Schizosaccharomyces pombe: one gene and its partners. Each later gene encodes a partner of the first gene's protein in a complex. Each region holds a gene or a part of one and is shown in the gene's direction. Other genes may lie near its edges. The genes, in order: snf30, snf59 and snf5.

Evidence for each region.
Region 2: snf30 (region 1) and snf59 share a complex: the UniProt entries of both Schizosaccharomyces pombe proteins name them as parts of the SWI/SNF global transcription activator complex.
Region 3: snf30 (region 1) and snf5 share a complex: the UniProt entries of both Schizosaccharomyces pombe proteins name them as parts of the SWI/SNF global transcription activator complex.

What each region holds. Positions count from the first base shown.
Region 1 is NC_003424.3:878,753-882,591, reverse strand, and holds snf30 (SWI/SNF complex subunit Snf30), read left to right. Parts: upstream 1-2,123; 5' UTR 2,124-2,402; coding exon 2,403-2,605; exon of another isoform or gene 2,606-2,756; coding exon 2,757-3,378; 3' UTR 3,379-3,445; downstream 3,446-3,839. Other genes in the region: ubiquitin hydrolase Ubp7, read left to right, coding at 1-1,569. UniProt on the Schizosaccharomyces pombe protein: Component of the SWI/SNF complex, an ATP-dependent chromatin remodeling complex, required for the positive and negative regulation of gene expression of a large number of genes.
Region 2 is NC_003423.3:3,968,631-3,972,469, reverse strand, and holds the start of snf59 (SWI/SNF complex subunit Snf59), read left to right. Parts: upstream 1-1,725; 5' UTR 1,726-2,366; coding exon 2,367-3,839. Other genes in the region: 3'-5' exoribonuclease subunit Dis3, read right to left, coding at 1-1,144, 1,309-1,501. UniProt on the Schizosaccharomyces pombe protein: Component of the SWI/SNF complex, an ATP-dependent chromatin remodeling complex, which is required for the positive and negative regulation of gene expression of a large number of genes.
Region 3 is NC_003424.3:546,377-549,976, reverse strand, and holds snf5 (SWI/SNF complex subunit Snf5), read left to right. Parts: upstream 1-1,507; 5' UTR 1,508-1,516; coding exon 1,517-3,313; downstream 3,314-3,600. Other genes in the region: gep3 (GTPase-like protein), read left to right, coding at 1-1,209. UniProt on the Schizosaccharomyces pombe protein: Component of the SWI/SNF complex, an ATP-dependent chromatin remodeling complex, required for the positive and negative regulation of gene expression of a large number of genes.

The sequences.
Region 1 (3,839 bases):
AAACAAGTGAATGTTACAGATGCTTCTTTGTCGCCAAATTCACACAATACAAGTGATAACGAGCAGAACAACGAAGATTATGTTAGCGTTTCTTCATTAGTGGGTTCTGAGACCGAAGATATTACTTATTCGAAGGAGTTGTCGCAATCATCTGACTCTTCACAGCATCAGCATGACAGTTTCTTGCCTGCTAATTCATCGCCATTAGCGGCCTCGTCTACAAAATCCCTTCCATCGTCAGAACTTCTCGATTCCAGTTCAGACAAGGGACAACAAGTTTTTAAGGGTCAACATGAGGTCGCTGGTACCAATTCTTTTGAAGATCCTAATTCTCATTTCAATGTATCTAATAGTTCTAATCATGAGGAGGCTAGTCCTAAAAAAGAAGTTTTAAAATCTCCTCAATTTCAAAGGCGTTCACTAGACATACTACGGCTTGGTGAACTTTCTTCAGATGATATGATGCTTGATAAAGCTACTATGGATGAATTTTCTTCAAGCCTGGTGATCAAGTCAATTTTTACAGGCCGTTTAACGAGCGTTGTGATGTGCCAAAGTTGTAATGAAATTACTAACACTCCTGAACCTATTCAAGATTTATCCATACCTATTCATTACCCGTCTAGCCGCGTAAGTCGTCGTCATCGATTCCATCGTGCTCTCCGTTCACGATTTAGTCGTTCACCAAAAAAATCGTCTGTAAAGATAGTTGTTGACAATGCTAACGACGACACTGATCAAGCCCCGACTACTAATTCCTCTTCGTTAAATGAAAATTTACTTGGTGGGCATGCTAGTGAAAATGACAAGAGTTTGAAACAGTCTCCATTTCAAAAACTGACTCGAAGATTAAGTGATCTCTCTGTCAATTCTAGCGGGCAAATTTCGAAACAAGATTTTGATAATAGTAATTCAATTTTCTCAGAATCTTCACTATCAAGCCCAATAATAGAGGAGCCTAAGACACTTATTGATTGTCTCAAAAACTTTACTCATGTTGAGGAGTTAAGTGGTGAAAACATGTTTGCCTGCGAGAATTGCTGTAATCAACCTAACGAAGTTGGCTCTCCAGCTAAGGGAGGATTGACGTCGGATAACGATAAATATTCGTTTAATAACAGTGTTTATAGAAATGCTTACAAGCGGATGTTATTAGATGACCCTTTACCTCCTGTTTTTATTATCCATTTGAAGCGTTTTTTCCAGGAGATTTCCCACGATGGTTACGCCAATCCCAAAAAAATTTCCGATTTCATTGAGTTTGAACAAGAATTAGATTTAAACGAGTTCGTTATGCCACACCTACGTGCTTCAAGTAGTTTTAGATATCGACTTTTCGGGGTCATTGTGCACAGTGGCACCCTGAATTATGGTCATTATGTTGCTTACGTATTGTCTCATAAATTCTTAGACCTCAGTGCCCCTTCTACGAATTCTAAGGATTTCCGTTCTGAAGCTGGCATACCCGAGAGACGATGGCTTTACATTAGTGACAATATTGTACGCGAATCATCCTGGGACGAGGTTTCAAAAGTCGAAGCGTATATGCTATTCTATGAACGTGTTTAGACTTCTATTGCTTTAAATCCTCATTTTAGCTTAACAATATTTTTCAATACCCCTGGTTTTTATCTTTAAAATGCAAAGTATTCATTTTGAAATTTACGATTGGCCCAAAATGACTTATTCAACTCAATCTATCTTCACCTTAATCGAATTTCAAAATTACTTTGTCATTTCACCTCATAACTAGATACTGAATTTTGGACGAAACCATAATTATTCAAACACATTCTTTTGATGTACCTCAATTAAAAAAATACCATTTTACTTAATTAAGCAAATGGGATAATTTATTTTACGTTATCAATAGTCTATATAATTGCAAATTTATAGAAAAATCTAAATTTACTTATTTTTTATACGCTAATAGTGTTGTTATTGAATTGTATAAATATTATCTCTGTTAATGAAGCGTGCAAATCAGCTTTAGTCTCTAAATAATTATTATTTATTTATTCTATTGCATATATTTGAAAAGTTATCAACAATCTTATTCAGTCGAATTTGAATGTTCCGTAAAATAAGAAATTTATTTGCCCGAGGTTAGAGGTGCTTAAACTATACACCTGACTTGTCATTATTGGAATATAGTCGCTATTGAATTGTTATAGTGTTGTTACATTCACGTTTATTACCATATAGCATTTAAAGGTTGTTTTATACTTTTTAACGACAGTATTCATCAGAGACTCTAAAATTCGCATTTGTAAAAAAATATATATATATATTACCATTACTCCTAGTTAATGGGTTTTAAACACAAGAAGTTACAACAAATTTTTTAAAAAAACTGGTTATTTAAGTTATATCTCCTTTTTAAGTTAACTACGTTTGTAATAATGAGCTTTGTTTCGAAAAGTCCACCGATAGTAAACTCCGCGAGCCCAACCGGACAGGTTAATCCAATGGAAGTTGAAAAGGCGAACAAATTATTAGAAATTAATCGTTTGATTTTATGGAAATGCTTAGAACTTCAGCATATTAAGACGGCGCAAAATTCGACATTGGAGCAACGGGCTTTATCTACTGAACTTTTCAACAGGTAAGTGATTGAAATGTTTTGCTTACGTGCACACTTAGCTGCGGAAGGATATTCATTGTGTGTATCCATTTTCGGCTCCTCAAATTGCGCTTCGCACTGTCTCTCTTTTATTACATTATATTTTTTTCGTTGTTACTAATTCATTTACTAGTTATATACAACGTCTCAAAGCTAATCTAGCTTTTGTAGTATCAATTGCTTCACCCCGTCAAATGCAAGTTTTAACTCCGCCACTTTCGTGTCCTGAAAGTCTACCTCAACTCGAGCCGTTATACAAAGAACTCCGGCAATATTTTCAAATCGCTCAGACATCTACACTATCGTATCCTCCTTCAAATGGGGATTCGTCTTCGTATGCAAATGGCACAGACTTACATGGAAATACAGGGACTATGCAGCAAGAAGAGAAAGCCAATCCATCATTAACTCGTTCAGATTCTGTTTCCTCGGGCTCTTATATTACAATGCAGGGAGCCAATAGTCTGAAGGCCCAACAAGACTTATTGAACTCGTTTACTGGTGCTCCTTCAAACAATTCTCATAACATACCCGATCCTAATCTATCTCAAACATTTTCAGCAACTTCTATGGGACCTCCCAACAATAACTACTCAAAGTTCCGAACGGATAACTACTTAGCGAGGTCCTCAAATCGCTCGGGAACGCCCAACATTCAAAATGAGCAATCTCGTTTTTTTGATTCACAACAAGCTCAAGTTCAGGCTCGAGCATTGATGCAAAGATATCAACAGGGGATGGAATTTAACAAATAGTGGTGTTTTTGAAGTTTATGATATAGAAAAGCTATGTCCTGTAATTTTATGTTTTAATTGATCATTTATCTAAACGTAAGACTTGCAATGTAGCGGACGCCTTACATGTAATTTTTATGCAACTAGTAAATTTTGACCACTAAGATCTAAATTTGTTTAGGAAATTAGGAATGGGTAGCACAACATTACTAAAATTTCAATTGCGAAAACCAAATCAATAAATTTATCTAAAACGACGATATGTTTACAATTTTACTATAGCACAAGCAAATGAATGCCATACAAAAATTTTTGGCGGAAATTACAACAGATGTGTAAAGCAATTTTAAAGTGGTGTCGCTTAATTACCTTTTGAATCTAAAACGCTATTGAAACTTGAATTTTTTGATGCCATAATTTAACTAAATTGACCAAGTTTAGAGATTAAAAAGCCAATAATGATAACTCTGAAAGTTTCCAGT
Region 2 (3,839 bases), on another chromosome or scaffold:
ATTTCTCCAAGATCTCGAACAAAATGACCTTCTGGATAACGACTAGAAGCATCCCATAAGTCTATAGCTACTACAATACGACGACCTACAAGTCTAGGCGCTTGCCTTGTTCGAAATCGAATCTTAGGTACTCGCCTATCCATAGGTGTTAGCAAAACTGTTTGCTGAGAACCGCCTTTTGACTGGGCAATAGTAGCATTATCAACATGGCCAACGTATGGGCGCCAATTCCTTTTTAAAATACCAACCACCTTAGCGGTTGGATGAGCATTTCTTTTCGTAATCAGTTCCAAGTCATTTATTCTGGCCGAATCGGGTTCTGCTGCAGTACTCACAACAACGTCTTCATCATCATCAGCTATCTCTTCAGCTTCCGTTTTCCATTGATCTTGAGGTAATATTTGAATGCAAACGATATCACCTTGCACAGCACGATTTAAATTTTCTCTTCCTGAAACTAGCACGGGCTTGTTGTAACCAGGAACAACAACAGAACCTTCTAAATAATTATAAGTACTAATATTGATAAGTCCTTTATGCACTTCCCCATTTTTTATACAAGCTAACAGCCTAGACATAGACCAATGTAGTTCATATACGTTTTTTGTTCCAGACTCTACCTGCTCTTTAGAAGCAATGGCGTCCGCAATGGCCGACACCATATCCAGTAAAATTTCAGAGTCGGGCAGGTACTGAACGTAGTCTTTCAATGTAGAGACTTGAATACCTTGTTCAGCAGCCAAGCGAGCATTTTCGCGATCATCGGTTAATAAAACAATCTTAATACCTAAGCTGGCCAAATGACTGGCAAACCAACTAGCCGCGTTGCGAATTGCACGATCATTACGGTCATTAGCAGATTCATCATCCAATCTTTCAACGAACGTATCAACAAAAAATTCATTACTAAAAGGGGTAAATCTTTTAGTTTTCTCTTGGCAAAGGCGTTTCATTCTATTGTATAGAGGAATAGATTTTGAAGAAATTTCTGAAAAAACCGTTTGCAGAATAATGACATCGAAAAAATTATTTGGATGTTCTAAGGCATCAATACAATGGTAAAATATATTGGAATCAGGGATTAAATAATGATGCCCAAATTTCTCCAAGAACATGGGCTTCTCTGATAAAATAGGCTCTAACACTATCGTAAGAGTTAATTAAATTTTGCTTCACATTAAAAAAAAATGAAATTGAATAGTAAATGAATTAGTTTCAATAGCTCTCAGAAATTAACTTCACAGAAAATTATACCAACTAATTCCAGACCAATGCAAATTACTCATGTGGGATTCCTTTAATACTTACCATTTCCCCTCGAGTCCTTTGGAAGTTTAGAACGGCAAAGAGGGCAAGCCCGACTTTGACAGGGTATATCATTTCGTAAATATTGCTCACGAACAACTTTTTGAACCTTCCCCCTGGTTGCACGAACAAATACTCTATCTCTGTGATTCTTCTCGGAGCTTTGAGGCCTCTTCAATCCTGAAACAGTGCTCATCCTGTAAATCTTCAGAACACTGAAGATTGCTTTACTAGAAAAGTTTTAGACCCTGGAAAAGCTACTATCACTTACGGCATTCACAACACAACACTACACGTTATTATTTTAACGCAGGATAAAAACTTCTCATATTTCACACACCGAGAACAGACTGGGTCTCGTAATATTTGTAAATAGAGCAAAATTGCAGACAAAACTGAGTATTTGAAGGTTTTTTCTTTAAAACAAAACGCAGTTATTTAAATTTCATTAAAGATTAAGAAAAAATATACCTTTTAAGGTTAATTTTTTGGTTTCCAGTCCACTACTTAATCTAACGTACAAGTTATAAATATGTTTGTAATATTTATTAGCTAATTTTATTTTTTTAAGTAATAAATGATAAAGTTGAAACAATTAAATGTTATTTCAACTGAATTTATAACTCCCACCTAAAATTATGACCCACCAGACTATTGTTTGAATTGGAACTTTACATTAAAAGCAGATAAAAGTTCAAATGGCATACATAACTTCCTTTCAAATTACTTTGTGTGGAAGCAAGCAGCTTCTGATCTTATTACTTTTAGAGTGTTTATTTGAATTTGGAAACGCCAAGCAAAAGTAAATAATTTTGCAAAAGTGTTCAGCTTATGAAATTTTAACAAAGGTTTTCGGTTTTATTAAAATCGTAGAGTAACGTCGAATTTCAGTTTTTCTGCTACGCCTGTTCCACGCTGCGACCCTACCACCGCACATTGTTTAAAATATTTATTGACACTCGTTAAGGTAAAAGACTGTGAAATTAGGTACAAGTCTATAAAATCACGCTTGGTTTTGGAATTGATATTCGTAACATTTTCGTTTGACACCAACTTTTCTTATGGAAGAAGAAGATATCACACTTGAACATTCTGATGACTTAAATAAAGAAGAATCTGGTGAGTCGAATAGGGTGAATATAGAAGAACCTGAACATCATGATAATTCAAATAAAGAATCTACAAATCTTGATGATTTAAACATGTTGGAAGAACCTAAATATCATGATAATTCAAATAAAGAATCTACAAATCTTGATGATTTAAACATGTTGGAAGAACCTGAACATCATGATAATTCAAAAAAAGAATCTACAAATCTTGATGATTCAAATATGTTGGAAGAACCTAAACATCATGATAATTCAAATAAAGAATCTACAAATCTTGATGATTTAAACATGTCGGAAGAACCTAAACATCATGATAGTTCAAATAAAGAATCTACAAATCTTGATAATTCAAATATGGATGAATCTGAAAATCAGAAAAATTTTAAAATTGAAGAACCCAAACCTTCTGGTGATTTTAGAAACGAAGGACCTAAACAGTGTGATGATTCGAAAATTGAAAAACCTGAGCTGCACGTTAATTCAAAAATTGAAGAACCTATACATCGCATTGATTCAGAGCATAATGAACCTGAGTATCACACTGAATCAAAAAATGAAGAGTCTGAACATAATACTAAATCAATCAGGGAGGAACCGATACATCATGTTGATTCAAAAAATGAAGAACCTGTTTACTCCAAAATTCCCGAAAAAATGGGTGATGAATTTTCAGAAAATAGTCTTTCAAAATCTGATTCTGCAGTAAAACAGGAGGGTAATTTGTTGATTCATCCAAATAACAGCCTAAAAGATACCGCACCTTCAAAATGCAAAGAACCTCCAGTTGATGAAGCATTAAGTAAAAAGGAAATTAGTGATGACATTGCTCAAATCACGAGTGTAACCCCCATAACAGAAAAGATTGAGGACAAAGATAAATACATAAGTGAAGTAATTGACACGTATGGCAAACTAGCGGATGGTTTTGAATATCGAGCTAAAACATTTTGCCTAGAAGGACGTGGCAAAGTGTTGTATATGCTTGGTACAGAATGCTCAAGATTACTCGGCTTTAAGGATAGTTACTTCATGTTTCATAAGACGCCATCTTTACGAAAAGTACTTACAACACAAAGTGAGAGGGACCAAATGGTTGAAATGGGTTTGTTGGCATCTAATTTTAGATTTCGACAACTAAGCATTGTTCCAGCTAGACAAATGTTTTTGGCATTCGGTGCTAGAATATTGATGAAGGGAACGATAGATCCAGAGAGTCATAAAGCTCTTATTGAAAAAAACATTAGCTGGGCTGACGATGAGTATTATCATATGGATGTCATGGCTAATGGAAGCACTCGTTCTTCCTCTGTAAAGCTTGAGCTAAAAAGTATGGATAATCAAAATTCACCCTCACCATTTCAAGGTAAGGATATTTTGACGCTTGCTCAGGGTGCTTCTTTTTACAATTCTAAAGTCATGAGG
Region 3 (3,600 bases), 330 kb from region 1:
CAAAGATGTCATGATTTAAAATTTCATTCTCGCATACGTCCAAAGGAGTTGTTACAAGAACCCCAGACTACTCTACCAGATATCATTAGTACGGTGAATAATGATAAAAGTACTTGTTTGATAATACAGGTTATAGATGTTACTGAAGTTATATTTCAAGATTTTGTTTCAGCTACTCAATACACTCATTTCCCAGTTTTCCATTTATTTACGCATGCGGATGTATTACCTCCAAAAAAGCCATACTGGTTGTTTCCTGGGTTAGGAATTTCTTCAAAGTATGCTATGCTTTACACATCGCATTCTTTCAACCTAGTTGATAAGCTCTTGGGAAGGATAAATCCCTTGCTATGTTCGCGAGGTCATGTATATGTCGTAGGCGAAGCAAATTCTGGAAAATCTACATTGCTAAAAACTTTGGCTAAACGGGGAAATGGTGTTTTTAATGAGCTTTTGCTTGACAGTTTTTTACCAGGAACCACTCAAGCAATAAAAGGGTATCCTACACAATATTTCGGTTCCTGTTTTAAGCAATTATCTGAAGGCTTAATTTTTGATACTCCTGGATACCGTGGTAACTTGAAATCTTTATTACCCTGGGTTGATACTAAGCTATTGACAAGTCTCGTACCTAAAACAAGGTCTAGAAATAAGCAACTCACAAGTAAGCCTGTTCAGTATCGTGTTCGTTTCGGTCAGTCTATTATTTTAGGTGGACTAGTTCGTGTTACGCCTTTTGAAATAAATGAAGATGGAAATCATGAAGTTGGAAAGCCAATTATGTTTAAAAAGGAAGATCCTTCGAGCACCACGATACACTTTTTGTTCTCGACTTTAAAAAATAAGAAAACAAAAGGCAATACCAATAATATGAAACCTCTTTTGATTAAGTTATTTACAAAACTTCCCGCTCATATTACCTCTATAACAAAATTACAATCACTTGAAAATTCTACGAAAAATGATAATGTTCCTTTAGTAACTCACTCTCCGTCGCCGATGCATTCTTCTTTTACCGTAAGTATTAAACCGACACAATTATCGGAAAACGTGTTCGATCCTACATCTAGTGGTGAACTGGTCATTCACAATTTTGGCTTTCTTTCGTTTTCTGCTTCACGTCCTATGAACCTACTTGTTGAATCAGTAAATCCAAAAGCTGTTAGTTGGAGGTCTGCAAAACCAGTAGTACCAAAATTTAATAAATAGGTCGGGCCTATATCTCATTATTCGCTTAGCATTTATTCACCCGTACTTTAAAAGTGGTTTGGGTTATTTACTGTATTTTCGAATCAATTAATAAAACGTATCAGCTGCTTGTAAATGGCTATATTGATCAAGAATGACACCGATATATGATATTCTTTCTAATAACATTTGCACTTAAACGAATCTTTACTTTTTTTTTAAATCTATGGATAAGGATATAGGCTCTGCTGTAGCCGAGTTGCAAGTTTGTAGCACTCACTACGCTATGACTATTGTTAGCTGCGGTTTTCACTCCCCCCAAAGCCTAATGAATGCAGATTTGCAGCACTGTCTTCTAGCAGATCAAAATTATTTGTTAAATAATTCTAACAAAAACAAAGGAAGTATTATTGAAGAAAATACTCGAAAACCCTTCCAAAGTGCAAGAAATTTACAGACATCTTTGAAAACACATCCTGAAAGCGCAATTACCCGATATGGACTAGGTTATGCTGGATTTGGGAATGGGTGGACCGCTTTGAAACCCAAAATACTATTTCCATCGCAAAAAAGAAGGGTTAAGGGTCGATTTACTTTCCCTTTCAGTCGAAGAAGTAATTTAGCCCAATCTAAACTTCCGGTTGATTTGGTGCCTATTAGACTTGAAATAGATGCTGATCGCTACAAATTAAGAGACTCCTTTACGTGGAATTTGTACGACAAGTGTATTTCATTAGATCAATTTGCTGAACAGATCTGCATTGATTATGATATTCCACTGCATAATGTACATATTGTTCAAAATATTTCAAAGAGTATTCAAGCTCAAATAAATGACTATGAGCCGCGTAAGGCTCAGTCTAATTTAAGTTTTGTTTCAGATGTTAGTTCGTCTACCTCAGAGACTGTTTATGCGCACGAACCGTCAGATTCGTTGGCTAAAGCTTCCAAGCAACAAATTCCAACTGTACAAAACGATTTGAGGATATTGATCAAGCTTGATATTACCATTGGTCGGCTGAATCTTATTGACCAATTTGAATGGAATTTGTTTGCTCCTGAAAGCAGCGCTGAGGAATTTGCTACTGTGATGTGCTTAGATCTAGGATTGTCAGGAGAATTTTGTACAGCTGTAGCTCACTCAATTCGTGAGCAGTGCCAAATGTACATAAAATATTTAAGCCTTATAGGATATTTGTTTGACGGAAGTGAAATCGAAGACGAGGAAGTTCGCTCTTACATTTTACCTCCTCTTAAAAACACACTACGGTTCTCTGACATGGAATCCTCCTCCTTTGCCCCAATGATTTACGAGCTAAACGATGCTGAAATGGAACGGCAGGATAGAGGTTATGATAGGGAAGCACGTCGTATGCGGCGTAGACAAGGAAGGGCAAAACACGGGATTATGTTACCAGATCTTCGGGACATTCCTAAAATACATCGAAGTCTCTTCCCCAGTTCATCGGTCCCCTCGGATGATGACTTTATGCATGCTTTAAGTTTATCTACAAATTCTGATGGCGAGACACTTAACGAAATTAATACTAATAATCCTGAAAGAGAACATTTAATTGTGCGTCTAAAAGTTGACTCTCAGAAACTAAAAATAATCGTTGAACAATCACAAACCTTAACCCTCAATAACTTCCAACAACGGAAACTCACTCCCTTGCCCAATTCCATGAGTTTTGACTCACTAAACGAATTTGAAAGTGAAAGGAACACACCTTCTACATATGGGCAAAATATTTCGCCATTACCACAATTTTCGTCTCCTAGCCTTTCTTCTGACGCGTTTCTTACTAACAGCAATTCTTCTGAATCCGCTTTGGTTCATATGCAAAAGTTAAATTTACCTGATTTTACCCCTTCCTGGGTTAAACGATGTGTTATAGAGACATTTGCAAAATTTCCGAATGATCGATTTAATGTTATCGTAAAACCTGCTTTAAATCCTGCTGAAAGGATGACTGTGAGAATATGTTGTCATGATTGCATTAATGAGTATTTTACAGCCGGCCCAGGATTCACGTTTGGCAATTTCCATATCCACTTGTTGTCAAGCTCGCATCAACAAAAAAAGGAGGTGAGAATGAATACGGTTTTGGATAGAAATACTTAATACAATTTTGGAAGAATCTTTATCAAAGACCATAATCAAGATTTGACTCACGTTATGGATAGCTCGACGGACCAGTTTCTTTCAGTTGATAGCTTCTGTTACAAATGAGGCACTCTATCCTCAATACGATTAATTTATTAAATTTGAGGAAATACACTGTATATTATTCAAAGGCTTATTAATCCTTAATGTTCAGTCATGTGGCTAAATTTAAAGTATGTACGGGTAACCGATGAATCAAATTACTTTACAGCCTTCATTTCAGTTTTTGGAAATTATAATATTTT